Coturnix japonica: one gene and its partners. The protein of the gene in region 1 purifies or fractionates together with the protein of each later gene. This does not show direct contact. Links are inferred from orthologs where the notes say so. Each region holds a gene or a part of one and is shown in the gene's direction. Other genes may lie near its edges.

Region 1 (4,020 bases):
CCTCCAGATCTCAGGGGTAGATTTCCACTCGGCCTCCAGTTTTTCAAGTGCCTCAAAAGGCAGCGTAAGAAGAGATGAGTTTTTTGACAGGAAACAGCCTGGCAGGCAGAGGGCTGATCTTCTTAATGGTGTCTTCAAATCGCCTTAATACAAATCCACATCGAATGGCCTTATTGGCTTTAATAAGGATGAAAGCAACAGCGCCGCAAAGAAATGAGAAGCACCTTTGAAGCTGCACTAAAGGTTTTTAAGCAGTAATATAAAATATTTTGGCTTTTTTTTGTGTGGTTATAGAATTTGAGCAAACCCTGAAGAATCTGAGAGAATTATGCTCCTCCAAAGGAATCTGACACACCAATTAAAAGCTCCTCAGAAAGGTTATTATTCTCTGCTAAGCTCTATTATTATTAGGCAGGCTGAGGTGCAAATGCTCTGCTTGCTTCCTAGGTGAGAGGCAGTTTCTGTTGTCAGTGACTCTCACACCTTCAGCGCTGCACTGAGCACCCAGGCAGCACAGCAGAACCTCGTACCTGTCCTCAGCATCATCAAGCTTTGCTGTCGCTGTTCACTTGCCTAAATCATAACACGGATACTTCTGCTGCTTTGTTGATATATTTACTTTAAAATCCCAGCCCTGTGAGCATTTATGCCTTGCAAGACTGAAGCGGGAACAGCTGCCGGGGTTTGGTTTTGACAGCTGCTGTTCACCTCCCAACAAGGAGCCTGTTTGTGTTTGTTTATTCATTAATATTGGAGCGGAACACAATAGGATCAGATGTCGGAGCTGACCAATGCCCTACTTTGCCCGTGCTAGAGCTTGTGTGTCAGCATTCATAACATGGATGAACCTGATCTACCTGCGGGTGTCCCCGTTCACTGCGGGGGGGTTGGACCGGGCGGCCTTTAAGGGTAAATTCAGACCCTAAAGACTCAAAGACTCAGGGATGGCGGCACCCCAAAGCTCCCGCGCTACGGGAGGGACGCGCCAAACAGGCCCCGCCCCCAACGCGGGGCGGCAGGTGGCGGGAAACGCCCACCGCGGGGCGGGAACGTGACGTCACGCGGGAAACGCCCCCTCCGTGCCGGGCTTCCCGCGCCTTTCTGCCTTAAAAGGACAATGGGGCGCGCGAACGAGACGGCGCGATTGTTGAGAATGGAGCCGTGGGAACCGCGCGTGCGCACAGCGCGGGAGCCGGGAGGAGGGGCGGGGCCGAGCGGAGCGCGGGAGGGGGCGGCGGAGCGGAGCGCTGCGGGGCGGCCGGACGGGCTGGAGGAGCTGCGGGACGGGACGGAGGGCGGCGGGAGCAGCGCCCACGGGGCACAGCGCGGAACGAGGCGGCGCCGAGCGGGGCTGGGCTGCGGGACAGCGGTGAGTCGGTCGGTACCTGCGGGATGGAGGGGAGAAAAGTGCGGCCGGGAGGCGGCGGGAGACTTTAATGTTGGGAGTTTGTGGTCGTGCTTTTTTCTTGCTGTTTTCTTTTTATTTTTCTCCTCTGTTTTGAACTCTGCTCCCCGGCACGTTGGTTTGCGCTCAGTGAGCGGAGCCCGGCGGTGCTGGGTGCAGGTGCGGCCGCTCACACCTGTGGCTCGGGGGCCCTGACACGCGCTGCTGGGGCGGAATCCCGTTGGCACGGAGCTCGGCCCGGCCAAGGGGAAAACAAAGGGCCGCCGTGTGCCGCGGGCGGGCCGGGGCTCGGAGCGCGTGGAGCGGGGGGCGGGGGCGACTTTCGGGGAGAGGCGAAACTTCGGCCGCTCCGTGCGGTGCCGCCGTCCCCCCCAGCTCCTCCCCGCGGGTCCCGGAGCCCCGCGCCGCGCTTTGAAGTGCAACTGTTGCCATGTTTGAATTACGTCAGGGCCGAGCCACGAGGAACCCGCGCGCACCGCACGGGGGTGGGGAGGGGGCGCCGCCAGCGGCACGGCCGGGGGGCGGCCGGCACAACGTGCCCCGTGCGGCCCGTGCGAGGGCAGCGGCAGCGGCAGCGGGTCGGGGGCCGCCCCACCTGGCCCCGGGCGGCGGAAAGTAGGTCGGCCGGCTGCCCGACCGGGGGGGCCTTTGTTCGCGGCCGGAGCGCGGCGCTGCCCCGCGCGGTGCCACGCGGTGCGAGCACGCCGCCGCGGGAGGGTTCGGCGCCGTCGGCTCCTTCATCCTGTCCGTCGTCCGACCCGGCTCCGCTCTGCTCCTCACGCCAGCACTGAGTCGCCGTTTCCTTTCGCGCGAGTGAGCGGGGCGGCGGGATTTAAAGGGCTCGGCGCGGCTCCCGGGGCCCGCGTCGTTCGGACCCCCGAAAATTCCGGCGGTGCCGCGTGTCGGGACTGCGGAGGTGCCGGCTGAGGCTGAGCCGTGCGCTCGGGCACGGACACCACGTGCTCGCCGCCCGAGGTGGGGCTGTCAGCCCCGCACGTGCTGCGGAAAGCCCCTTCTCTGCGGCTCCGGCTCGCTGTGTGGTCCGCGATGTTCTTATACGAGAGGGATGACACGAGCCTCGGAGCGGGCGCTGCTCGGGACGGCTTTGTGCCGGCGAGTCACAGAATGACCCGGGTTGGAAGGGACCTCAAGGATCATGTAGTTCCAACCCCCCTGCCTGGCAGGGCCACCAAACATACACCTTTACTAGATCAGGTTGCCCAGAGCCCCGTCCAACCTGGTCTTGAACACCTCCAAGGACGGGGCATCCACAACCTCCCTGGGCAGCCTGTTCCAGGACCTAACCACTCTCCTAGTAAAGAAGTCCTTGGGGGCAGCCGAGCGTTCCGGGCTGTGCTATCGCTGCAGCTGTGGGGTATTCAGACACACCTCTGGGCTTGCTGTGCTCCTGCAGGAAGCAGGCGCTGAGCTTCTCAGCCCGTGGGAGAAGTTCCTCCCTGCTCCACTCCCTGGATCCCTGGAAGCCGGTGTCTGTGTGCAGCTCTGTCAGAAGCAAGCACTGCTCTCTGCTTAGGAGAAAGATGTTAAGAGTGTGGGAACGTTCACCCGGATCACAATAAACAGCGTTAGAGCTGCGGTGGTTTGCCTCGCTTATGTGAAACAACTGTGTCACTAAAGCGCTTTGCACTGTTTCTCAACGCAGCTTCTCTTAAATCTTTGTGGTGAGCGATGGATGCGGCTCCGTTTCTAAGCCCACTGTGTGCCGGGGCTGTCCAGCAGAAGGAAGCAGACGCTGGGAGCAGTGGCCCAGCAGAACGTAGGGGTGGGGCTCCATTTCATGAGCTTGTGAATTTCTGTAGGATGTGCTCTGTCCAAAGTCCGCATGAAATGACTGCTGGTACCGCTTAAAGACGTACAAGTGTCTCAGTGAAGGCGCTTCACCCTATCCCTCTGCTATTTCTCTTGCAGTCCTCATCAGACATTCTTACCTTACAGGAGAATGATAATCAAACCTGTTCAGCGTCTTGTGATCCGAGTGTCCGTGATGCTGTTCCAGCAGCAGGTGGTTGCTGGCAGCGTCTTAACAGCTGCAGTGCACCCAGATAAGCATCACAGACAGAACTCATTGAGCAGCACAGGTTTTTCTTACAGGGCTCCTGCTTAGGCTGAGCGTGGTTTTAGTTTTGCAATAGGAGTTTCGGGGGGGGAAAGTCCTCTTTGGAAGTGGAACGTCTGCAGGTGGGACAGGTTTAGGATTTCTTTTTTTCCTTATGCAAATCTTACTGATTACTGTTTTCATGCTTTGGCCTATCCCTTCTGGAGCGGTAGCCTCAGAGCAGCGTGCAGGAACGCCCAAATACCTCGGCCTTTCACTCCTTTTTCTTTGTGTAAATGGATTGGGTTTGTGTTTCCCATAGGAGATCAGCAGGTCAGCAGGCTCCTCTACAGCTCGGCTACTGACAGTTCCACTCGGGGTGGCTGTGACCCAGCTTGAGCACTGTGGGAGTCTTGAACAAGGAAAAGCGATGTCTGGTTTAATTTCAGTGTGGTCTGGGAGTCTCTGCCAGTTGCATCAGTTCTGCTGAGATCTCACTGCTGCGCTACAGTAGTTGCAGACAGGGCTGGTGTAAGAGTTGGCTCACTGATTGAGCTGA
Region 2 (3,500 bases), on another chromosome or scaffold:
TGTCTCATTGGAGGCACAGATTAAAAATAGCTTTCACTCAGTTTCTTTGCTGTAATGTAACATGATTTAAAGAAATAGCAACAACAAAAAAGAATTAAAAATCTACTTTGCTGCATATGATTCACAGCTTTTCACTCACGTGAATTGTCTGCTTGTGGGTATAACTTAATAATCTGGAGGGTGTGTTGTTCAGATAGCACTTAGTTTTTCAGAACCAGAATTATTGTCATTTTGTGTTGGTTTTTTTTGTTTGTTTGTTTTGTTTTGTTTTTTTTAATAGAATAATGGCCATTTTTGAGAATTTTATTTAGGAAACTTGAAATTAGTAAAGTCAAAACTCATTAGAGAATGTCATTTTTCCTCCCCTCCCCAAATAGTTAAAAGCAAGTGTAACCAAGCAGTTCATATTAATAAAGTAACGTTTGCTTTTTCCCCCAAAAAGTACTCAAAGTTTGCACGCATTTCATAGTGTCATCAGTATCACATAACATTAATGCTGCACATAAAAACAAATGTCTTGAGCTGTGCTGTGCAAAACAATTTGAGCTGGCAATTAAGAAAAAAATGTCTGCTGACTGTCTTCATTTTCTTTTGTTTCTAGGCAATGGCTACATTGGGGCCACACAGAGTAAAGCCAGAACGTAAGTAAATGTTGTCTGATTTCACAAGACAGAGCTTGCAATATACAGTGATGCAAACTGCATTGAAGCAGGCTATATTTATTTTAGCCTTGGTATGCTGAACACAGGGTAGGGTGAGCTAATTGGAATATGTCTATCCCTGCTCTGAGTTGTTGATAATTGCAGCTGGATTGGTGATTGTCATTGCTGCATGAATTGTAAAAATTAATTAAAAAATCAAGACTTCTAAGAGTGGGCTTTACTAGTGAATATTGGTATATTATGCCAATATTTTCATAAAATGAGGCAGAAAGCTGAAATCATCTGAATTTTAAGAGAGCATTCTGAACACACGTTGCATTCACTGCAAGTTGTAGCTCTGAAAAAACATATATGGAAAAGGAGTGGTAAATGATAACATGGTCTGAGGTTAGAAGCATATTAATGCTAGGTAAAATCAAGTGCTTGGAGGTAGTGAGTAATGATGAAAAGGGAGAGAAGACAAGTGGTTTCTTCAGTGGTCAGTTACTGCTTGCATTCGGGCATAATGCACTGATGAAGAGATTTCGGATTATGTGTCTTGTTGCATTATTCTAATTGTGAAATTTCACATCATAGATTGGAGGGTTGTATGAAAGAGAACTTAAAATGGAAATGCAGCTTTTAATTTATCTGACTGGAAAGAAATAAATATAATGCTTCTAATTTTCTTGCATTTGGAGCTAACTATCTAGAGAGAGACTACCTATGACAATGTAAAAATTGCATATGTGGTGTATAAATAATTTACTGGATGTTTATTTCTAAATCTTACCGACTTCTGCCAACTGATATTAAATTTGACTGTTTTAGCACCTGTCAAACTAGAGAAGCATCTACATAGTGCTAGATCTGAAGAAGGAAGACTGTATTATGATGGAGAGTGGTATGGACGTGGACAGACGATATACATTGATAAGAAAGATGAATGTCCTACAAGGTGAGTATTATTTTATTCAGTTCTCTATAGTCCTGTTAAGCAAAAGGCAACGTGGTGGCCTTGAAGAATAAATTGGAAATAAATTCATCCTTGTGAAGGTTGAATTTTACCGAAGGTAATTCGCTTTAGGATGGGATTTTATTAAAGGATTGAAGCTCTTAACCAATTTCTGGACAGCCTGTGATTTAAGGGTTGTGTTTGGGAATTTTCTTGCTGAGACTTTGATCTGTTGGCCAGCTGTAAAATATTTAATCATGGAAAACTACTTTTTGCTGTTGCTTGTGGAAGGAGTCTTGAAGATAAACTAGATCAAAACCCTCTGCTGTGACAGAGTTGCTATCCACTAGGCCAGGTTATCCATGGCCCAATCCAGCCTGGGCTTGAATGCCTTCAAGGATGGATCATCCACAGCCTCTCTGGGCAGCCTGTGCCATTACTTCACTACAGTTGTTATAAAAAACTTTTTCTTTTATTCAGTCTAAATCCTTCCTCTTTTGGTTTGAAGCAATTTCCCCTTGTCCTGTAATAGAGGACCCTGATAGAGTCTGTCCTCTGCTTCCACTGTTTTAATCTGTTTTTGAGCTATGTTTGGCACCAGTTCTGTTTGGAAGAAACATTTTAAGGTTTGGGTTTTTTCCCCAGTATTTGTGTTGGAGTTTACCACAAGGAGCATGAAATCAAAGATCATGTAAGAATGATTTGGTTAAATTAAATAGGTCAGGCTTTAGCTTTATTTTTCATGGTCCTGGTGCTGGGATTAACAGTTGAACACTTTCTTCCTTGTATTCATTTGTTTATTTGAGCTTTGTTTTAGTTCTACACCTTGGGGTTTTATAAGTTTAAGGATGTTCTGGAAATGCTTTCTAGTGTACTGTGGGTAGTCTATTGATTACTCTGAGTGACTGTCCTTCGTAACGTTTAAAGTATTTGTAGATGTGATGATTTTCTCATAAAAGAAATAAAAATAACTGTCTGAAAATTCAACTGTCTTTACTAGAAATATACACAGTTATTAAAAAATGGTGCCAAAACCATCCTTACAATGGAGTCAGTACTTTCTGAGCCTAGCGGTTATACCTACTATGTGTTTTCATTTACATTACAGCTGCAGTTTTTGATGTTATTTATTCTTTAACTTTGCTAAATGATTCTTATTTTTCTTTCCCTGGCCCTTCTTCCCTCATTTTCTGTAGTGCCATAATTACAACAATTAACCATGATGAAGTTTGGTTCAAAAGACCGGATGGAAGCAAATCCAAGCTGTATATTTCTCAGCTACAGAAAGGAAAGTATTCAATAAAGCATAACCACAACTGACTGTTGCTAAGCCATGCTTGATGTGCCATGGGATGAAAGTTGTATTTAATAGCGTTTTGTATTCCTCATAAATTTACAGCAGTATCTGATGTGTATTTGTAGCGCTGTATGTAAACTTCATATGGACGGCCTTCAGAAACCTGAGGATGTTAAATCATGTTAACTGACATTTTACCTCTAAATTGGGTCCAGTGCTTACGATATGAAGTATGCTCTTCAAATGTAATGGCTCAGAATTTCTCATTAAATGTTGATCTTTTAAAATGGAAAAAATAAAAAATTCTTTTTTTTTCATTGGTGACCAGTTTGTTTGATAAAAATAACACCCACAATGACCAGCAACTCCCTTTGTTTTCAGTGACCGTCATGCTTCTCTTGTGGATGAAAATTTAGCTTGTTCAGCTGTTGCTTTTGAATAGATTGTAACATGCATAAAGCATTATTTTATCCAAAGTGGATCAATTTATTGAAATTATTGCCCTCGACAGCTCTGCTAGTTCTGACTGTCTTATATTTTGTAAGGTTTACTACATTGTTTTTAATGAGACAAAGCCAATATTTTAAGTTAGAACTTTTCAGGAGCA
Region 3 (4,197 bases), on another chromosome or scaffold:
AGGGGAAAGTCCCCGGACCGCAGGCAGAGAGTGCCACGCGCCGCGGGCGCCCGCCCCGCCCCGCAGCCCACGTGACGCCGCCGAGACGCCTCCGGGCCGAGCGGGTGAGCGCGGGGCGGGCCATCGTCACGGGCACAGACACGCAGGTAGTGCCGAGCGACCCGGCAGCCGGGCCGCAGCACCAACAGAACGGGGCTCACTCTCAGGCCATCCCGTTTTGTGGCTCAACTTTATCCGCGTCGGCTGCTCCGCCAAGAGTGAAAGGCTGCATCCAAAGCTGTGTGAGGCCAGCGTCAATGCAGGTACATGGTGTGCGCGGAGATGCTGCCCTTATTTTGACAAGTCTAACCCAAATCCTTACCGAGTCTATAACAAATGGCACATCCGTAGCTGGTAACTGTAGGCGCCTAATTACCCCATTTCAGCATACGGAATGGAATTCAATTTGCCGACATCTGTGACAATAGACCTGCGCTCCCTTGTAGTCAGTGGAGACATTTTTAGGGCAAGAATTGCAGTGAGTTACTCCCACCTTTATTTCCCTGCGTGGGAAGGAAAACATCCTCACACGTGACAGTGTTACGAATTCCTTAAGCCAGGCTTCCATCAGGTGACTGGTGTCATTTCAAACGCGTGAACTCAATTATCTCATGGCTTTATTCACTATCCTTCAAGATGTTTTTCATAGCACAGCAGTAATTAACTGTGGCACTAGGTGTTACATCAGCATAGAGTAACTCGGCGTGTTGAGAAATTCTTGAATGCGTCCTGGTAATTAACTCTTAACAGTCTTAATTAATAGCCTGCAGTCTGGATCTACCTGATAGGTGCAGCTGTGTCACGGGGCTATCAGGCTGCAGCACACAGTCTGTAATTAACGCTGTATCTTGCTTTACTCCTACGCTGCATGGCAGGAATCTGTTTCTCAGCTCTGTTTCCTCACAGAACCGCGACCATTCAGACTCATCGCTGCCCTTCACGTTCCGACCCTCCGCTAGCTCTGCCCACCCCCCTGTTTCCGTTCCTTTCCACGCTGCTGACTCGGGCCATTACTCCACACCTCGGCATAGCGCCGTGCCGGGACAGCCGGGCAGCACGAGCCGAGAGCCAAGGCTGAGAGCAGCCGGCTGACGAACGGATCCGCGCCTCCAACGCCCCCACAACCGCCGCCCGCCCACACGCGGCGCTGCCGGGGCACCTGGGGCGATCCTCCGCCTCACGGCCGTCCGTGCGCCCGCCGCCACGGCAGGTGCCCCCGGCAGGGAGCGGCCCCGCCACGCTCCCCGCGGAGTCGGCGCCCGGCCGTCAGCGGGGGGAGGAGCAGGGTGCGTGTGCCTTTAAGGGAGGCTCCGCCCCTGCGCTATATCCCGCCCCCCCGCCCTTCGGGCCAATAGGAGCGCGCGAGAGGGGAAGGCGGGAGAATGCGAACCCCTGGCGGCGCCTCTAGCCGCGCCTTATAAGGGCAGGGCCTCGCGCATGCGCGTAGCCAGGCGACCAGGGGCGGGGGCTCCAAGTGGGTTTCGCTGTGGCGGCGGCCGTTCCGCCGGGCGCTGAGCGGGACCCGAGGCGGGCGGCTCGGTCCGGGTGGGTCGGTCCGGCCCGGCGGTGCGCCGGTCCCGCGGCATTGAGCGGTCCGGCCGCTCGCGGGTAGAGGGGCGGCAGGCGGCAGGAGGCGGCAGAGCGGAGCGGGCCGGGCGGGGGCTGCCCCGTGAGCCGGTGCCGGCGGTGGATGTGCGGCTGGAGCGGCTGCAGCGGGGGGATGATGCTGGCGGGGCCGCAGCTGGTGGCGGGGCCGGCGGCGCCGGGCGGGGAGCGGGCCCGGCTGCTGTCGCTGTACGTGCAGGAATACCTGGAGTGCGTGGAGTCGCTGCCGCTGGACATCCAGCGCAACGTGTCGCTGCTGCGGGAGGTGGACACCCGCTGCCAAGGTGGGTCCGGGGCTCGGCCTCCTCCGCGGGGCAGCGGGAGGGAGGGACCGACCGGAGGGGAGGGGAGGGCGGCGCGGGGTGGGGGGGAGGCGGCCGCCCGCCGCACATGCGCTGGGCGCGGGGCTCCGGGCTGCGGCGTTAGGCCCCGGCCTCCCCGCTCAGCTTGAAATCCGGCGGGGGGTGGAAGGGGAAGCGCCGAGCAGGCAGGGCTGTCGCCTGTGAGCACGAGGTGTGCCCGGGGCTGCGGGGCCGTTACGAGCCCTGTGCTCCGCCCCGCCATGGGGGCCGTGCCCGCCGGGGGCACACGGGGCGGTCAGGATGGAGTGCTGGTGCCTGCAGGATTTGCACAGCTGCTCCGTGCTGACAGCGTTGGAACTCTCTTTTCTCAGCTCCACCAAACTCAAGCAGATGAACTGTAATGGACGCTTGGTCCTGGTCTGTTTTTCTTAGCCTCCTTTTTAAGCAGAGGTTTTAAAGCTGTCTAGCTGGACACGGGTACCTCCTCTAATTAATAAGGGGTTAATAAGGAAGTACTTCAGTGAACCTGTCGCTCTGTCACTACACATTTTCTAGTCTTTCTAGTTGTTCAGACTACAGAGTGCCTTACTCGGCACTTCTCAGAGCAAATATTTTATCCTGTCAAGGCAACAGATGCAGCTGAAAGCTGTAGGAAAGCGAAACCTGTGTTTTCAGTGACAGCTGGAGTACTGGCACTGTGAGTTATTAGATGGGCAGAGCACTGACTTCATCTTCCTCTGGTGAAGGTCTGCAGTAGAACAAAGTGCTGCTGGTTACTGTTTCCATACAGATTTCAGTATTTATAGTAAAAAGTGACCGTTCCCTCTTAAGGTGCTGTTTCAGGATGTCAGCAGGAAAAGAAATCACTGTGAGCAACGCTGAGATAATAACCGTGGCTTCCATTTAGCGCGAGCTTGAATCATTCTAAAACTGCACAAAGCGTTTAATTTAAAAATGAAAGGCAGCCTATAAACAGAGCTGTGCAGGATGAGAGATTGTTCCGTGTCCATTCTGGTTGTGGAATCAGTTGAGTATCGTTCATAAATTCGCTTACCCGTTACAGACCTGTAAGTTAGTTGTGAAGGGATCGGTGCTGTATCGAGCACCCCGTCACATCTCGCTGTCAGCTCCACTGATTTAGTTCCTTCTGCTTCAGCAGTTCCTCTGTCTTTCTTGTGTAGATGTAGTGTCGCTTTCCGTCTGGAAAATAGTATTTTAAAATCCATCAAAAGGGAAAATGTGGAGGACAAGTTCTGCCTCAATGTAACACACAACTGGATGTAACTTCTTGGTACAACCAGCACCACTTGGAGTGGTTTAAGTTGTCTTAGATCCTGATTGTACATCTGTTAATATGTAGCTTCCACTGTGGTACTTTGTTGTAACTAAGGGCTGTTGAAAAGGTAGTGCTAAACCCTCGTGTATAGAAAGGAGGAGGCAGAGGACCTGCATATCCTAATTTTGGATTGTAATGTGATGGTTACACGATTATAGTGAATTCTGAGATTCTTCCTATGGTATGAGAAGCTTTGGTTTGTAGGCCAGGGCTTTGTAACTACTCTAATATGGAACCTCAGCAAAAAAATCCTGCTTTGTCAGATGCTGAGTCAGAATTTGGACCATTCTGGCTTTGGCAGCAGCGTTCACCTTTCTGGGCTTACCCTTCCCTTTATCCAGTGCTCAAAAGCATCTTGCTTTTTCTTAGAACTTGAGAAGCTTTTTATGCAGTGGATTACCACCTTAAACACTGACTTGATGCTCAGGTGTAACTTGAATTAAATACCTGATGTAGCCCACTGGGGTATACTGTAATTAAAACTTGTACTGTTTCACGTCCGTTTGAACGTGCTCAACAAAATACAGATATGTACCTTCTATCTCGTGTAATTATTCGTACTGTGTTTGTTTTGTAGAAGCTTTAAAAGAAATAGACGATGTCTATGAAAAATACAAGTCTGAGAACGATCCCGTTCAGAAGAAACGCCTGCAGCAGCATCTCCAGCGTGCTTTAATCAACAGTCAAGAACTGGGAGATGAAAAAATTCAGATAGTTACTCAGATGCTGGAACTGGTAGAGAACAGAGCCCGACAGATGGAAACTCACTCTCAGTGTTTTCAAGACCTGTCTGAGAACGACAAGCCTCTAGAAAAGGCAAAGATGGAGTCCTGCCAGCCGGAGAGATCTTCACGTAGACCCCGTCGGCAGCGGACCAGTGAAAGCCGCGACCTGTGCCACATAGCAAACGGGATC
Region 4 (4,291 bases), on another chromosome or scaffold:
GGGTAGAACACTGTAATGCTATAATAACAAGTTAGCAAAGACTTGAATGCAGCAAATAAGAATGAGCTTGAATGCAGCGACCATAAATTCAGAAACTGAAGAAAATAACTGCTTACCTTTGGAAGGCCTCAAGTAAGCAGGGATCTCCAACCAGAGATACCCTCACCTCCACAGCCAACCCTTCAATGAGGGCTGGGAAGGGGTGGATCCTGGCTCCACCCCTCCATCACTCAGCAGCACTGCTTGCACCTGAGCTCCCTGGGTTGGCCCTGCCTTCCCACCAGGTGTTCCAACACTGTTTCAGGCCATGACATAGCATTTCCACTACAAATATCAAAGCCAAAAGCTGAAATCCCAGCACTACAGCTCTCAGCAAAGGGTTCAAATAGCAGTCAAGTTAATTGCAAATTCAACCCAAGGTCTCTATGAGACATCCCTATGGTGTCCTATGGAGAAACAGACAGCATAGCATACTGGTTTCCCTCTCTCTCATGTAGCAGTAGTGGTCCAATTCAACAGAGTTCAGTTGTCTGCTGGGAAAGGAAGCAGGGGACATGCATTAGGGGAAGCCCAAAGTTAGGGATGTACATTAAGCCCTTTGCTCTGTGCCTGGCCCCACAGGTGCCTTGCTGGTGGTGCAGCGCATGCACAGCACTGCTTGTAGGATCATTCCCCAATGCAGATGGGTTTGTGGCCACCACGAGGCTGGGTCGCATCATTTGTGAGAGGTTCTGTCGTCCCACAAGAGCCTCTTCTCAGCACACCACCACCACAGCTCTGTGCAACGACATCAGAGGGAGGGACAGGAGGAAGTGCAGCACACAGCAGTGTGACCAAGGAAACCCTTCTGGGAGCCTGATCTGGACCGACACGCTGTCCCACATCTGCTCGGTGCTGTAAAAGCCAAGATGAATAACCTGAAACAGCACAAACAGCCGCTCCCCTCCCATCTCATCTCATCCCATCCCATCTTATCTCATCCTGCTTCAGAACGATGTGGTTGAGTAGCCCTGCAGGTCCCCTCGCCTTCACAGCACGAGCCACCGCTGCCACGTACCACAGAACGAGCGTGTAAGATCAGCGAATAAGCAACAATAAATAAAGACGGTGTTTGATCCACAAATGCCACAACGGGCGCTGGAGCTCAGTTTGTGCCCTTTAATCGCGGCCCAATAGGAGCGGCCACCGCGAGGGCCCCGGGCTCCCGTACAACGTCCGTCCGTCCGTCCGTCCGCCACCCGCCGCTGCCCGTAGCGGTCCCGCATTGCTCACCCCGCGCAGCCCCGTCCCTCCCTCGTCCCGCTCAGGTTTCCCCGCCGCTCCCGCCGGTGCCGCTGGAAGGGCCGGAAGCGTCGCGCGGTGCGGGCGGTTCCGCTCCGGGCCGGGCCGGGCCGTGGCGCCGTGCGCGCTGACGCAGACGCTCCGCACGCGCTGACGGGGGGCGCGCGGCGGCGGCGGCTCCGACTCCCAACATGGCGGCGGGGGGCGGCGGCGGCGGCCGGGGGGGCAGCGCCCCGCGATGGGGCGGCGGCGGCGGCGGCCGGGCCGCGGCGCAGGAGAAGCTGCCGGTGCATGTGAGTGCGGAGCGCGGCCCCCCGGGATTCGTCCCCATCCTCGCGGAGGGCGGCGGGGAGCGGCCCTGCCCGCCCCGCCGTGACCCGCCCCGCCCCGGTCCGGCGCCGAACCCGCCCCCGGGGCCGCGGGGCGCCCCTCTGCTCCCACAGCCCGGGGCGCCCCCGCCTTCCCCCCCCCCACACTCGGCCCCGTTCCCCACCCCCGTTACCGCGGCCTTCCCCCACCATCCTCCCGTCCCCTGATCCCCCCCTCGGTCCCACAGTTTCGGTGCCCTCAGCCCCGCTCCGGTATCGCGGCGTTCCCCCGGGGTCTGTTCCGTCTCACCGGCGCTCTCAGCGCGGTGGGGGTGTCAGCCGAGGCCTCTGCAGCGCCCCGGGCCTGTGCGCCCCCTCCCCGGGGCCTCAGTAGCATCCCGCCCACAGGTGGAGGATGCGCTCTCCTACCTGGACCAGGTGAAGATCCGCTTCGGCAGTGACCCCGCCACCTACAACGGCTTCCTGGAGATCATGAAGGAGTTCAAAAGCCAGAGGTAAAGCCCGGCCCGGGCTGCCCCGGGGCTGTCTCAACCTTGGGGGCTTCCTCAGCCTTCACCCCATGGTTCCCCTGTCCTTGCTGGCCCAGTTGTTCCACGCTGGAGGTGATGGAGGAGGTGTCCATCCCAGTGCCGTCTGCTTCCTTGTTTTCCAGAGCAGAAATCCATGGGAAAAGAACAGTGTGTTTTTACATCCTGCTCTGAAACGCAGATTTGGAAAAACAGATGAAGAATTTTAAGAGTATTGCTGAGAGCTCTCAGTCTTTGTGTGGTGCCCATATTGGGTAACCTGCATGTTCTTCTCTATGGAGAATGTTCCCAGTGGGTGGCTGCAGTGGATGCTGCTCCTTCCCTCTGCCTGGGCTCACTCCTAGGTCTGAAGATTCCAGACTTGTTTTTGATGAGAATGGCATCTGGCTTCTCACCTACCTCTGTAGTTTTTTGGCCTTAAGTTGTATTTCTGACATAACACAAGTAACAAAATTCTTCTCAATTTTAGCATCGACACACCCGGAGTCATCCGACGCGTCTCACAGCTGTTCCACGAACACCCCGACCTCATTGTAGGATTCAATGCTTTTCTCCCTCTGGGATACAGAATAGAAATTCCAAAGAATGGGAAGTTAAGTATACAGTCACCGCTGACAAGTCAGGTAGGTTATAAAGCTCACAGTACTCCAAATAAATCCTATTAATATATTGCTTCGCACATCTCTTGCGCTGTTTAGGCTATGTACGTTTGCATGTATTGCACATTGCAAAAGTTCTGACCTAGTTTTTAAGATGTGGTAAGGGCTACAATGTAAAACTGAAATACATCTTGTGTGTGATGGTTGGGTACACATTGGCCTCTCCTTTTTTCTTGTTACTGTGCAGCTGTGGAGGCCGAAATAGAGTTCTTACTGAATTCTGCTGATAAAGTTGTGGTTTAATGCTGATTAGTAGCAGTATGTATCTTTCAGATCTTTCTGTTGCTCAGGAGTTTAATGTTTCTTAAAACTGACATAGAACAGTGGTAACAGGAACTGCAGCACACATTACCTGGTACAGCCTCACAAGTGTGGATAATGCAGGGACAGTCAAAAGCAGCAGTGAGTCAGACTGTTTACCAAGTCAGATATGGCTTATGGGTTTGTTTGTTTTTAACTCGTGGTGTTAATAACACAGGGAAGAAAATGTATTAGCAAATTAAATCTTTTTTCCCCCCCACATTTATTTCTTCATGTGGTAATCTGTTTTAGCTAAACATTTAAAATATCAATGCTAGGATGTAGTTGCACCTGTGTTTCAACACGAGTCACTGTCTTGTATGTCTTATGCCACTAGGTGCCCTCAGAGCCTGTTCCCAGCGCCCTCCCTGGCAGCGGGCTGTTGTTGCATTACTCACAGGAGAATTCGCACAACCACAGTGACTGTACTGAGGAGTTTAGGCACCAGCTTCCGTACAAAGAAGATAAATCCCAAATCCCTTTGGAGTCCGATTCTGTAGAGTTCAATAATGCCATTAGCTACGTGAATAAGATCAAAACGCGCTTCCTTGACCACCCAGAAATTTACAGATCCTTTTTAGAAATTCTTCATACTTATCAGGTAAAAAGCCTTCAATGTAAGATAGATTATGGGTTTGTGGTGTGGCTGCTTGAACAGCTATCAAATGAGACATCAGGCTTTGTGCAACAACTGCCTCATAGATATTCATATGAAATGACAGAAGTGTGAAAACTGTCGAACCTCCTGGGCTCTGAGATGCAGAGGGGTTGTACGTGGATCTGTCTTCAATAACCTTCAGCTGATGTAGTGATAACCTGTGGGATAGGAGCCTTGGACTGTCTAATAGTTATATGAAGTTTATGTTGTGTTTTTATTTTGGCTGCTGTGAGTCGTGTGTTTGTATCTGTTTAACATCTGTGTGTATCTTTTCAGAAAGAACAGCTTAACACTAAAGGTCGACCCTTTCGGGGCATGTCAGAGGAAGAAGTATTTACTGAAGTAGCAAATCTGTTCAGAGGCCAGGAGGATCTCCTCTCTGAGTTTGGACAGTTTCTTCCAGAGGCTAAAAGGTCTTTGGTATGTGTATGCTTAAAGCAAGGCAGAATATTTAATGCTGCCTGTTCATATGTAGAATGCATTATGGAAAGACTCACAACCTGTAGATGAAATTCACTTCTCTTCACTGCTTGGAAT
Region 5 (3,500 bases), on another chromosome or scaffold:
TAATATCAATAGGAGCATGTTCCTTTTCTCAGAACTCCAAATTATACTGGAAGAAACAAGGAAGCAGCTATTTTCCTGCTGTCATTCCTTTCAAGATAAGCTGTTTCATTTTCTTTTCTGCTTTGAAAAAAACAGTGTTTTATTTGAAACTTCAGGTTGTATCTCCCAGCTGTAACGATGACGTCACAGTGAAAAAGGACCAGTGTTTAGTCCGATCCTTTGCAGATTCCAAATTGTAAGTAACAGCTTCCCTTTTATTTTAACCTTTGTCTTCTGTAGTTCAATTCCAACTGATTTCTTCTTTGTGCTCCCCCTCCCTCCCCCTTTGTGTTGTATCTGTACTATGGCTTTGGTGTCTCAGAGAGGAAAAAGAAGTCAGCAACTTCAAAAAACAAACAACCAGATGTTAATTTCTGGTCATTCCTGTTCTGTAAAGTGTGTTTCAGTGTCAAGAAATATCCTTAATGTCGTAACTATTACAGCTGTCATCCGTGTCAATGGCAGTAGTTTTCATACCTGATTGACCCATTACCTTGTGAGCCCGAGATGTCCATTGCTGTTTAAATAGCAGAGTTTAATAAGTGTTTAATCTACTTCTAAATTTTTTTAAAGTGGATGTAAATTAATTATTTTAATTAAACAGTTAATTAAAAAGGTCCTTTTAACCTGTTATTTCCTGACTCCATACCCCCCTTGAAAAAACTGAGTGGGTGAATGGATTTGGGGGGAGAGATATGTGTGTTTCTTAAGGAAAAGTATATTGAAAATATACCAAGTCTGTTTTTCTAAGCTGTTTCCCCTTATTTGTCTTCTTTCTCATGCACTTCTAGTGCATCTCTCTCAGCATACTCTAACTACAAACATCCATGGTTAAGGCCACCTGGCACTCTTCTTCCTCACTTTCTTTCTAAGTGCACAAGTTTATTAAACATACAATACCCATAATGTTGACTCAGGCATGTCTATTTCACGTTTCAGGTAACAAAAGCCTACATATTTACTTGTTGGAAAGAAGCTTGAAATTAAGAAATACTAGAAATCTCTTTGTATGAGTCAAATACCTGTTTTACTGTATTAGAAAAATAACAGAACTTTTTTTTTCCAGTTATTCAGTAGCAAGAAAAGACATTAAAGAACTCGATGCTCCAAACTTACCAAAGTCAGAACCCTCCCCTAAAAAAGGTAAATTTGAGTAAATTGTGGGTGTTTTGAAAATGCAGTTTCATACAGCAGCAATATTAGCTTTTCCAAATTAACAGCTGCGTATTGGTTTGAAGTGAATGCTGCTGGCCATCTATTCTGCAAACAGCTTTAAATGTGATAAATTAGAGAAACTTTGGATACAACTGCCCTATTAATGACAAGGCAACTAATAGAAGTGTTGCTTATTTGGTTTTGTTTCCTTCTTTCATTCCACTTTAAATTTATTCAAATTCAAAAGGTGATTTTGGAGGTACAGTCTTTGAAATATCATTGAACAATGGCATATAAAGCTACCTCTCCTAAAACCACTGCTTTATGCTATGGTTGGAACACGTTTTGTCTTTAAATGAAAAGTACCCAGACGTGGAATTGTAACCTTTAATAGAATAGCTGATGTCAATAGCCTGAAATAATGCTTGATTGAAGAGTCTAATTACAGAGGTAGATTTTCTGAATGGATGGATGATGTGTCTGTGGTATTCATGTTTTTCCTGAGCTTGTGGAAGGCCAGTTTCTCACTTTAATGTAGATGTTCAACTTTTAGTTGATCATCCCAGTTAAAACACATCATTTTTAAAGGAGAAATTTTCAAACATTTACTTGAAAAACAAATATACAAGAGAAAAACCACCACCAAGAGGTCCTTCTATTTGATTAAAGGTGCAGAGCAGCTTCTTTACAAGTGGGGTTTTAACGTAATGCAAGTAAGACAGCTTGAGGAGGTTTTGATTTAATATTTCCCATGTACTTTGTTCCTATTAATTATTTCAGAGTACAGGAACTCTACCAGCAGTTCTTAGGTTCTGGTGCTTTTTCATCTCTTGCAATGCTGTGAATGGCTCATTGCAGTACGTCCCTCTTTTGGGGTAATCTGATTCCTCTTTATTGAAGGAAAAGAATCCGAGGTATTCCCATTGTATGAATGTGGCTTCTCCCCATACCATCACTCCCTTATTCATTAGAGTGCTTCTGTTCCAGACATGAATGGAACAGAATCTCCTTAGGCAGCTTTCTTTAACAAAATATTGGTGTGCTTTTATTTTTTGGTTTATTTCATTTTATTTTTTTACAATCTGAGGCATGAAGATCTTTTGAAAAGAACAAAGAAATTCCTGGTACCTGAACTGTGATGGCTTGGAGCTTTTGTTTGTTTTTAAGTGGATTTCCTGCACTATTTGCCACTTTCATACAGAAACAAAACAGCTTCACAGCTGCACAGAAAATGTGGATAAGTAAAGGTCTTTGATACTGTGTAAATAAATAGGTATAAGGCTTAGTAGTGTTCGGGAGGGCACGTGTCTAGGAAATACCATAGAATCATAGAATGGTCTGTGTTGAAAAGGACCACAATGATCATGTAGTTCCAACCCCCTGCTGTGTGCAGGGTCACCAACCAGCAGCCCAGGCTGCCCAGAGCCACATCCAGCCTGGCCTTGAATGCCTGCAGGGATGGGGCATCCACAGCCTCCTTGGGCAACCTGTTCCAGTACGTCACCACCCTCTGGGGGAAAAATACAGATGGATGTTCTCAAATCTAAGCTCCTCGAGTTTCTGATACTTGATTTTTAAAACCTGTCTTTAAGTATATACTATGTAGACAGAGCTACTCCATCACTTACTATCATTTTGGTTTAAGTTTGCTTCGTTAATTTATAAGGCTATGAAAAGGAAATTGAGAAATGCTTTCTGATTCTGAATACTTGGGATGAGGTATGAAGAGGGCCCTTTCTTCTGTAGGGCTTCAGGAAGCAAGCACGTTTCTCAGCACAAAGGTTGTCCCTCGGAACTGGAAGATGGACATAAGTGAGATTATGGAATCCTCTAGCAGTGATGAAGAAGATGGAGCTGCTGCAGAAACTGATGAAGAGGAAATAAAAAGAGAAGAGAAAAATGAAGAAGTACTGGTAAGTCTGGGCAATTTCAGTTATTCTTCAAAGATAATAGAATAACGTGTGTGTCTAAAGGTATTCTGCTTCATGAAGTTCTCTGTCTTAACTTCAGTGTGTTTTCAGAGCTGGGCATCCTCCCTTTGCTCCTAGTCAGAAATAAAGAATTCAAGGCAGTGATGGAAAGAATCTGGGTGAAAGAAATGAGTGAATGGATGCTGAGACAAATAGGAGTGATCCAGCATTGTGTGAAAATAGCTGTGTGCTTTTCTTTTGGGCTTCCCGTGTAGTTCATGTAAGAAAGTAGCTTCACAGAATCACAGAATCATCAAGGTTGGAAAAGACCTAGAAGATCATCTAGTCCAACCATTACCAATACTTCCCAGCTAAATCATATCAACACAACATCCA
Region 6 (3,500 bases), on another chromosome or scaffold:
CCAGTAAATAAAATGGAAAGCAACGATTCAGGTTAAGCTGACACAAGTTAGTAACTCCTAGAAGGAAAGGGCATTGCAGCGTCTGAGAGGGTTCCTGTCTCAGGTACTAAGAACCGCAGAACAGCAACTAGGTGAGCATCTCTAGGTTCTAATTTGCCTTGTTCTCCTTGATCTCCTGTGGAAACCACTTGGGGTTGGAGCTGCTTTCTTCATTTTCAAACAGTCCAGTTGCAAAGAGTGTATGAATTGCATGCTTAGAACACAGTCAGCAGCAGAGCCAGTATAATACAAACCAGTGCAGTTAATCTCAATTGAGATTTCATCCCAGACATTTGCTGTGTATTACGTGGCACGCTTGGTTCAGTCCCTGCAAATGTAAAGGGTTATTTTCCCCTCAGGCTCCCGCTGCTGTGCTGCCAAGCTCCAGCAGTCTGTTGGTTTGTACAGCAGCCTGCTGACACTGGCTGTTGACTTGGCAGTATAAGTGCACTGACAAGGAGAGCACTGCAGTCATGGTTTGACTACATCTGCCTCTACCTGCACTGAAGAGGGGACTTGCCTGTTTTTGATTGTGATCTGTGGTGAAACATCAATTCAAAGATGTTTTCTTTACTGACCATGTGAGAGATATTAGCACAGGTTCCTTTTCAATAGCATTCAACTGCTGCAAGCCTTGAAGGTGAAGGAACTGAGTGAGAACAGTCTCTTGTCATTTTTTGTTCTGAGGATCTTAGAATACAGGCATTGTCCTAGTGATGAGTCCTGGTTCTCATATACTAAGGGATGAACTGCATCTGTGGTGGAGCCCATGTTTCTCACAACGCACTGAGAGGAGATGGTGTTAAAACACAGTACTGCTACCTCTGTGCCACTGGTAGTTGAGGTTCTTCTCCTTTCTCTCCTTCCAGCAGTCCCTCCATTGACTACAAGTACTGTCTCTCCATCTTTGGCACTGCTGGCCAACAACCTTTCGATGCCTCCAAGTGATTTGCCGCCTGGTGCCTCCCCAAGGAAAAAACCCCGTAAGCAGCAGCACGTCATCTCCACAGAGGAGGGAGACATGATGGAAACAAACAGCACTGATGATGAGAAATCTACTGCCAAAAGCTTGCTGGTGAAGGCAGAGAAGCGCAAGTCTCCTCCCAAGGAATATATAGGTAATGCCATCTCTGACACTCTTCTCCTACTTGAACATCTGTGTTTTACCTGTTGCCTGTCACGATTGCTGCCGTGCTGGTCTCCCATGTCACAATAGTAACACAGCTGTCTGTGATCCCTTTTGTAGATGAGGAAGGTGTGAGGTATGTCCCGGTGCGTCCCAGGCCTCCCATCACATTGCTCCGCCACTACCGCAATCCTTGGAAAGCCGCCTACCACCACTTCCAGAGATACAGCGACGTCAGAGTGAAAGGTCAGTGTGCTGCCTGAGGAGCTGCATGGGCTGATGATGATGATGATAAGCTGCCCCACAAGCAGGCTTTGCTCACAGTATGGAACACAAGCGTTGGTCACTCACGTGAGCTAATGACTTAGTTAGCTAGATGTTGCTTAGATCTTTTCTCTCTCAAGACTGAGAAGAAAAGGGGAGGATCTTCTATAGAGTCAGATACAATTCTAACTGTCTGGTTAACCGAAAATGTTATGTTACTGAGAAATGTATTTATGTACAAGGATAGAAACTGCCTAAAGAAATTCCTAAATAGATTATATAGCGGTAGGCTATGGCTTGGCACTCAGATTGCCTTACTACCTAACAGTGCTGCCAATGTAATCAAAAGCGTTCCCTATTTAATGAGTCTCGTGAGCTAACAGATGGGCCTGGTGCGTTTCTATGGGATGTTTCTGATAGTAAGAGGAAAACTGAGATCAGGTTCTGTGATTTGGACTTTGTGGCTGGTAGGAAGGAGCAGATAGGTATTGCAGCAGTGTGAGATGGACTGCTTGCTTCTTCATGTACAGTGTTGGAAGCAACACCTCGTTTTAGAGGAAGAAAGGGAAAATCAACATTGCAAACAATAAAAAATGATCTGAAAATGCAGATGAGCCATTGGGGGGTGAGAGCAGCCTTCAGGTAACGTGGCAGATGAGTCGTTATGTTCCTGTCCCAATCAAAGTGTTGCTGACTCTTCCTTAAGCAGGATGTGTGGAAAGCAGGAGCTGGGTTAAAGCTTTTGTTTGAGAACAGAGGCCTGGTGGACTCCTGAAACTTGAACCTCTATTTGTGTTTTTTGGTGACAGAAGAGAAGAAAGCCATGCTGCAGGAGATTGCCAGTCAGAAGGGTGTATCCTGCCGTGCACAAGGGTGGAAGGTCCATCTGTGTGCGGCGCAGCTGCTGCAGTTGGTAGGTGCATGGGACGTGCCGGCTGCCTGTACCGCGGGGAACACGGAGCTCTGTAAGGCAGGATGTTATCACAAACTCAGTACATGCTCACCTGATGCAGGGATGCCATAAGCTGGTGTGTAGCGCCCAAAGGGAGTGGGACACGCTTTTCCCCTTTCTCAGGAATGTGGCGTTAAGTGGCTTGGAAACTTAGTGTTGGTTTTGATCCAGACATAAGAGCTGATGTATTTTGTACAGATGATCAAAATTGGCAACTCCCTCCTGCTGATGCACAGGTCTGAAGAAGCGTCTGTTTGGGATGGTGCGGCTGATCTGAGGAGGCAGCACTGATCCACATTCCTGGATGCTTCTGTTTCAGGTTGGGGGTGAGGTAGGTGCTCTGCATTCTAGCACCAAACTCCCCAAAACCTCTGCATTCCTGGAATAGTATTGTGAGAGACAGGGGAAACAGTTCTGGCTAGGTTCCATGTTTGTTCAGAAGTGGAGCAATGCTGTGAATAGGATGTTTAGTAAGAACAATAATGCCACACTCAGCATCAGAGGCTCCATCTTCTGAATGACTAACATGAGCAGCTGAGAGGGGAACAGACGATTGTCTTCTCTGTGTAGATTTCATAATGTGGGCAGATGTTTTATGGGCCCGGTGGTGAACCTGCTCATGAAGTGCTGTTGTCTTGTAGACAAACCTGGAGCGTGACGTGTATGAGAGACTGACGGCCTTACAGGAGGGGCTCATTCCTAAGAAGAAGGCAGCAACTGACGATGACCTGCATCGAATCAATGAGCTGATACAGGTAGGCTCCTACTGGCCCCTAAGCTCAGAAGAACTCTTCTACCTTTAGTAATTGCAGCAGGATGTTTTCCAAGTAAGTGCTGAATCTGGCTTTAAAAATAACACAATAATAAAGGTGCTTCTCCTGCGTCATTGGTTAGTGGGGGCTTTATACAGTAAAGGTGTTTGTTGTGACTGTTTATTCTGCTGTTGGTGACGATAACGTTTTATTTCAGGGCAATATGCAGAGATGTAAACTCGTGATGGATCAAATCAACGAGGCGAGAGACTCGATGCTGAAGGTGTTGGATCACAAGGATCGTGTTCTGAAGCTTCTGAACAAGAACGGAACTGTCAAGAAAGTATCCAAATTAAAGCGGAAGGAG
Region 7 (3,500 bases), on another chromosome or scaffold:
AATAACAGTTACCATAATCTTAAGCTTTGTTTCCTTAGGAAAACAGAAACAAAAAAGCAATTAGTTGTGTTCAATGTGATGTTGTTACAATTACTCTATAATCAGCTTTTCCTTAGGAAAACATTACTTGATGCTTTTTAATTGTGCGCTATTCTTTTTGCTTTTCAGTCCACATAGATTCATGCTGTAGGTTTAAACAACTTTTTTTTTCCCTGAAGGATGAAATGCTGTATTTTGTTACTGTATTTTCCCACAATTTTAGAGCTGTTTGTTCAAAATTTACTTATCTTTTTTTCCTAAACTGGGATGAACGATGCTTATTTATTTATTTATTTATTTATTTATTTATTTATTTGGCTTTCCTTTGAAGGGCACAGCAGACTAAACAGGTTGAGAGAAAAAATGTTATTTTATTAGCAGAGTTCTTTCGATTTCATTTGACATGGTGGTTTTTCACATCTCATGTATTCATACTAGCAATGTAGTTTTGGTCCACTATGGTGTGAGAGAGAAAAGTATTTTAAGTTCATTTTTTGTGTGCCAGACTTCAGAACTTTGAGCCATAATGTCTACCATAAATTTTCAATTGGAAAATGCAAACAAAAATGGAAGTGTGTTGTCAAACTTGTTTTCAAATTGGATCTTAAGGTAGAGATTAAGATCCTGCATATCTTAAAAGAAGTTGAGAAAATAACATTTCCCAAGATATTTTGTTCTGTATCTCTCATCTGTCTGCCTGTATGCTCTTCTTGTATTTCAACAAGACTTCTTAAAGAAAAAATAATAATAAAAATGCGAGAGGTAATGAGAGCTGATAATTATGATATGAATAAAGCATTTTATCGTGCAAAAGCTGATATTAAACAACAGTGTTGTTTAAGTGAAGGCCGTAGCCCACTATGCTTCCTGGAGATATACAATGTAATTTAGTACAATTTATAAATGCAATTTAAATATGTACTACTAGAAATTCCTGTAGCGTGTGATCATATCTATATGGTTTTCTTTATTTTTATTTTTTAGTATTTTTAACCAAGATCAATGCCAACTTTCTCATTTTAATTTTATTTTTAATTAGCTTCTGAAAGTTCTGATGATAGTGAGCAAGAAGATGACCAAAGTGCCCAGAACATAGATGCTGATGGCAAAGAGGAATCTCAGCACGAAGCCATGAGCCAAGATAAAAATGAGTTGTGTCTAAAAGAAGAACAGGACAGTTCATCCCTCCCAGAGGAAACTAAAGCTTTGACAGATACAGTGGTGCCCAAGTCAGGATCCAAGTCTCCTGAAAGGTTGCGAAAAGAGATGGAAGAGTTATCTGAAGATACTGACTCTGATGGAGAAGATGAAGCCACAAAAAAGAAAAAGGATGTAAAAAAGGAGGTTGGGGATAAAACAGCAAAACCACAAGTAAAACGTGGTAAACGAAGGTACTGTGTTGCTGAGGAATCTTTAAAGACTGTGTCGCCTAACAGAAAGGACGAGAAGTCCAAAAACAAAGATTCCCTTAGTTTAGAAAACAGCAGCAACAGCTCTTCGGATGAAGAAGAGGAAGACAAATCTAAGCTGAAAATCACTCCCACTAAAAAGTACAATGGATTAGAGGAGAAAAGAAAGTCTTTACGGACAAGTACTTTCTACTCAGGATTTTCTGAAGTGGCAGAGAAAAGGATAAAGCTTCTAAATAACTCTGATGAAAGACTTCAGAACACCAGAGCAAAGGATCGAAAAGATGTCTGGTCGAGTATTCAGGGACAGTGGCCGAAGAAAACGCTGAAGGAATTGTTCTCGGACTCTGACACTGAAGCTGCTGCCTCCCCTCCACATGCTGCTCCAGAGGATGCTGCAGCAGAGGAGCAGCTTCAGACTCTTCCAGAGGAAGACATTTCTTTGCCTAGCTCTGAACTTGAAAAACCTTTGCCGTCTAGTGTGGACGTTAAACCTGTTGAGGAAAAAACAGCTGAAATGGGTGAAAAGAAAGTTGAATTTCCAAGTAGCGGCAGTAATTCAGTGCTAAATACTCCTCCTACAACTCCTGAATCGCCTTCATCTGTAACTGTAACAGACAGCAGACATCAGTCTAGCGTTGCTGTCTCTGAGACCTTGCCACCAAATCAAGAAGAGATAAGAAGCATTAAAAGTGAAACCGATAGCACAATAGAAGTAGACAGTGTAGCAGGGGAGCTGCAAGACCTCCAGTCTGAGGGAAATATTTCTCCAACGGGTTTTGATGCCAGCGTCAGCTCCAGTAGTAGTAATCAACCAGAGCCAGAGCATACTGAAAAAGGTAAAGGAAAACAGAAACAGAGGTGTCTTCAACCTAACATATCCTGGTGGTTTTTTTTTTGTTTGTTTGTTTTTTTCTGCATTGTAGATGTATTTTCATTGTTATGGTTACACATCTTTAGAAATGGCATAATCACCTATTGAATAAAAGATAATCTGCCAAGAAGCTTCTTGGCCTTTCAGAAAAAAATTTGCAGTAGTTTTAATGAGGAATAAACTATATAAGAATAAAGTTTATACCAGAGGTGGCAATAAAAGCCTGGAATGAACTGTAGTACTTTGTGTAGGGAAAATTTACTAGCAAGCTGAATGCATTTAAAAATACCTTGCTTGCAAGTAGATTGTATTGTTTCTCAGCGTTAGAGGATCAATTTTTTTTCTGCTTATTGGGGAGAAGAATAAGGCCAGTAATTGCATGCATAGGCAGCCAGCTCAAGCTTCTTTAATAGAAAACAACGAAAAGTAACAAGGCAAACAAATAAGAAAAACAAAGTATTCTGATCACAGGTCTTGACGTGATTATCAATATTTCAGATACGATTTTGCAGACTGAAGTTCACAACTTGAGAGCACTAGAATACAGGCCTTAAACACTGTTTATGCTTGTATGTGTAATGTCAATATTCTGTTCTTTTAACTATTTGCTAGACTGGATCCAAAAGCTTTTTTGTGGCATGCAGTGGCTGTTTCACAGCTACTTCTAAGAACCATTCACCTGCCTGAAAGTAACTAATGAAAAGGAAAAGGTGTCTGAATATAAACCTTAATACAGAAATGATTCATTCATCTCCACAGATTTCATTTCTCAGTTGTATAAAAAAATATATTTTTTTTCAAACAAATGTATTGGAATAAGATTTTATTAAAAAAAAAATGTGTGCATGTATATGTGTTAATATATATGTATGCATATATTTATGTTTATATATATATATAGTGTGTGTATATATATATATATATATAATACTATATAATATATATTCGTATACGCGGAGTGTATAAATTCCATGTGGTTCCAGAAAACTTCTGTTAATGCATTGAACGGAGTTACTTGCAGCCATCTGATGTGCACACTAACCAACAAGCCATTTTCCATCTTCCTTTACCTCCTCTTTTCAATCCAAGTAGAAAGGTGAGCCGTATTAAGTGCATACAGGAACAGCTGGTTACATTACTGTTGAGGCTTAAGCTCTGAAGCGTTTTCCTGAGATTTT

The links.
Region 2: the proteins of SINHCAF (region 1) and BRMS1L purify together in Homo sapiens (affinity purification with mass spectrometry; 3 studies listed by BioGRID and IntAct, counting the BioPlex papers as one, with this or other methods). This does not show direct contact. The link is inferred for Coturnix japonica from reciprocal best matches to the Homo sapiens genes SINHCAF and BRMS1L.
Region 3: the proteins of SINHCAF (region 1) and ING2 purify together in Homo sapiens (affinity purification with mass spectrometry; 3 studies listed by BioGRID and IntAct, counting the BioPlex papers as one, with this or other methods). This does not show direct contact. The link is inferred for Coturnix japonica from reciprocal best matches to the Homo sapiens genes SINHCAF and ING2.
Region 4: the proteins of SINHCAF (region 1) and SIN3B purify together in Homo sapiens (affinity purification with mass spectrometry; 3 studies listed by BioGRID and IntAct, counting the BioPlex papers as one, with this or other methods). This does not show direct contact. The link is inferred for Coturnix japonica from reciprocal best matches to the Homo sapiens genes SINHCAF and SIN3B.
Region 5: the proteins of SINHCAF (region 1) and ARID4A purify together in Homo sapiens (affinity purification with mass spectrometry; 3 studies listed by BioGRID and IntAct, counting the BioPlex papers as one, with this or other methods). This does not show direct contact. The link is inferred for Coturnix japonica from reciprocal best matches to the Homo sapiens genes SINHCAF and ARID4A.
Region 6: the proteins of SINHCAF (region 1) and SAP130 purify together in Homo sapiens (affinity purification with mass spectrometry; 3 studies listed by BioGRID and IntAct, counting the BioPlex papers as one, with this or other methods). This does not show direct contact. The link is inferred for Coturnix japonica from reciprocal best matches to the Homo sapiens genes SINHCAF and SAP130.
Region 7: the proteins of SINHCAF (region 1) and ARID4B purify together in Homo sapiens (affinity purification with mass spectrometry; 3 studies listed by BioGRID and IntAct, counting the BioPlex papers as one, with this or other methods). This does not show direct contact. The link is inferred for Coturnix japonica from reciprocal best matches to the Homo sapiens genes SINHCAF and ARID4B.

What each region holds. Positions count from the first base shown.
Region 1 is NC_029516.1:52,980,498-52,984,517, reverse strand, and holds the start of SINHCAF (SIN3-HDAC complex-associated factor), read left to right. Parts: upstream 1-1,220; 5' UTR 1,221-1,369; exon of another isoform or gene 1,370-1,377; intron 1,378-4,020. UniProt on the Homo sapiens protein: Subunit of the Sin3 deacetylase complex (Sin3/HDAC), this subunit is important for the repression of genes encoding components of the TGF-beta signaling pathway.
Region 2 is NC_029520.1:32,955,584-32,959,083, forward strand, and holds part of BRMS1L (breast cancer metastasis-suppressor 1-like protein), read left to right. Parts: intron 1-601; coding exon 602-641; intron 642-1,472; coding exon 1,473-1,599; intron 1,600-2,792; coding exon 2,793-2,916; 3' UTR 2,917-3,500. UniProt on the Homo sapiens protein: Involved in the histone deacetylase (HDAC1)-dependent transcriptional repression activity. When overexpressed in lung cancer cell line that lacks p53/TP53 expression, inhibits cell growth.
Region 3 is NC_029519.1:35,244,523-35,248,719, reverse strand, and holds the start of ING2 (inhibitor of growth protein 2), read left to right. Parts: upstream 1-1,397; 5' UTR 1,398-1,729; coding exon 1,730-1,928; intron 1,929-3,859; coding exon 3,860-4,197. UniProt on the Homo sapiens protein: Seems to be involved in p53/TP53 activation and p53/TP53-dependent apoptotic pathways, probably by enhancing acetylation of p53/TP53. Component of a mSin3A-like corepressor complex, which is probably involved in deacetylation of nucleosomal histones.
Region 4 is NC_029543.1:3,324,330-3,328,620, reverse strand, and holds the start of SIN3B (paired amphipathic helix protein Sin3b), read left to right. Parts: upstream 1-1,491; 5' UTR 1,492-1,574; intron 1,575-1,997; 5' UTR 1,998-2,081; coding exon 2,082-2,104; intron 2,105-2,606; coding exon 2,607-2,760; intron 2,761-3,433; coding exon 3,434-3,697; intron 3,698-4,030; coding exon 4,031-4,174; intron 4,175-4,291.
Region 5 is NC_029520.1:50,228,777-50,232,276, reverse strand, and holds part of ARID4A (AT-rich interactive domain-containing protein 4A), read left to right. Parts: intron 1-155; coding exon 156-235; intron 236-1,105; coding exon 1,106-1,182; intron 1,183-2,940; coding exon 2,941-3,107; intron 3,108-3,500.
Region 6 is NC_029524.1:1,643,929-1,647,428, forward strand, and holds part of SAP130 (histone deacetylase complex subunit SAP130), read left to right. Parts: intron 1-908; coding exon 909-1,157; intron 1,158-1,285; coding exon 1,286-1,411; intron 1,412-2,238; coding exon 2,239-2,342; intron 2,343-2,579; coding exon of another isoform or gene 2,580-2,672; exon of another isoform or gene 2,673-2,712; intron 2,713-3,022; coding exon 3,023-3,136; exon of another isoform or gene 3,137-3,137; intron 3,138-3,350; coding exon 3,351-3,500. UniProt on the Homo sapiens protein: Acts as a transcriptional repressor. May function in the assembly and/or enzymatic activity of the mSin3A corepressor complex or in mediating interactions between the complex and other regulatory complexes.
Region 7 is NC_029518.1:34,320,297-34,323,796, forward strand, and holds part of ARID4B (AT-rich interactive domain-containing protein 4B), read left to right. Parts: intron 1-1,078; coding exon 1,079-2,287; intron 2,288-3,500. UniProt on the Homo sapiens protein: Acts as a transcriptional repressor. May function in the assembly and/or enzymatic activity of the Sin3A corepressor complex or in mediating interactions between the complex and other regulatory complexes.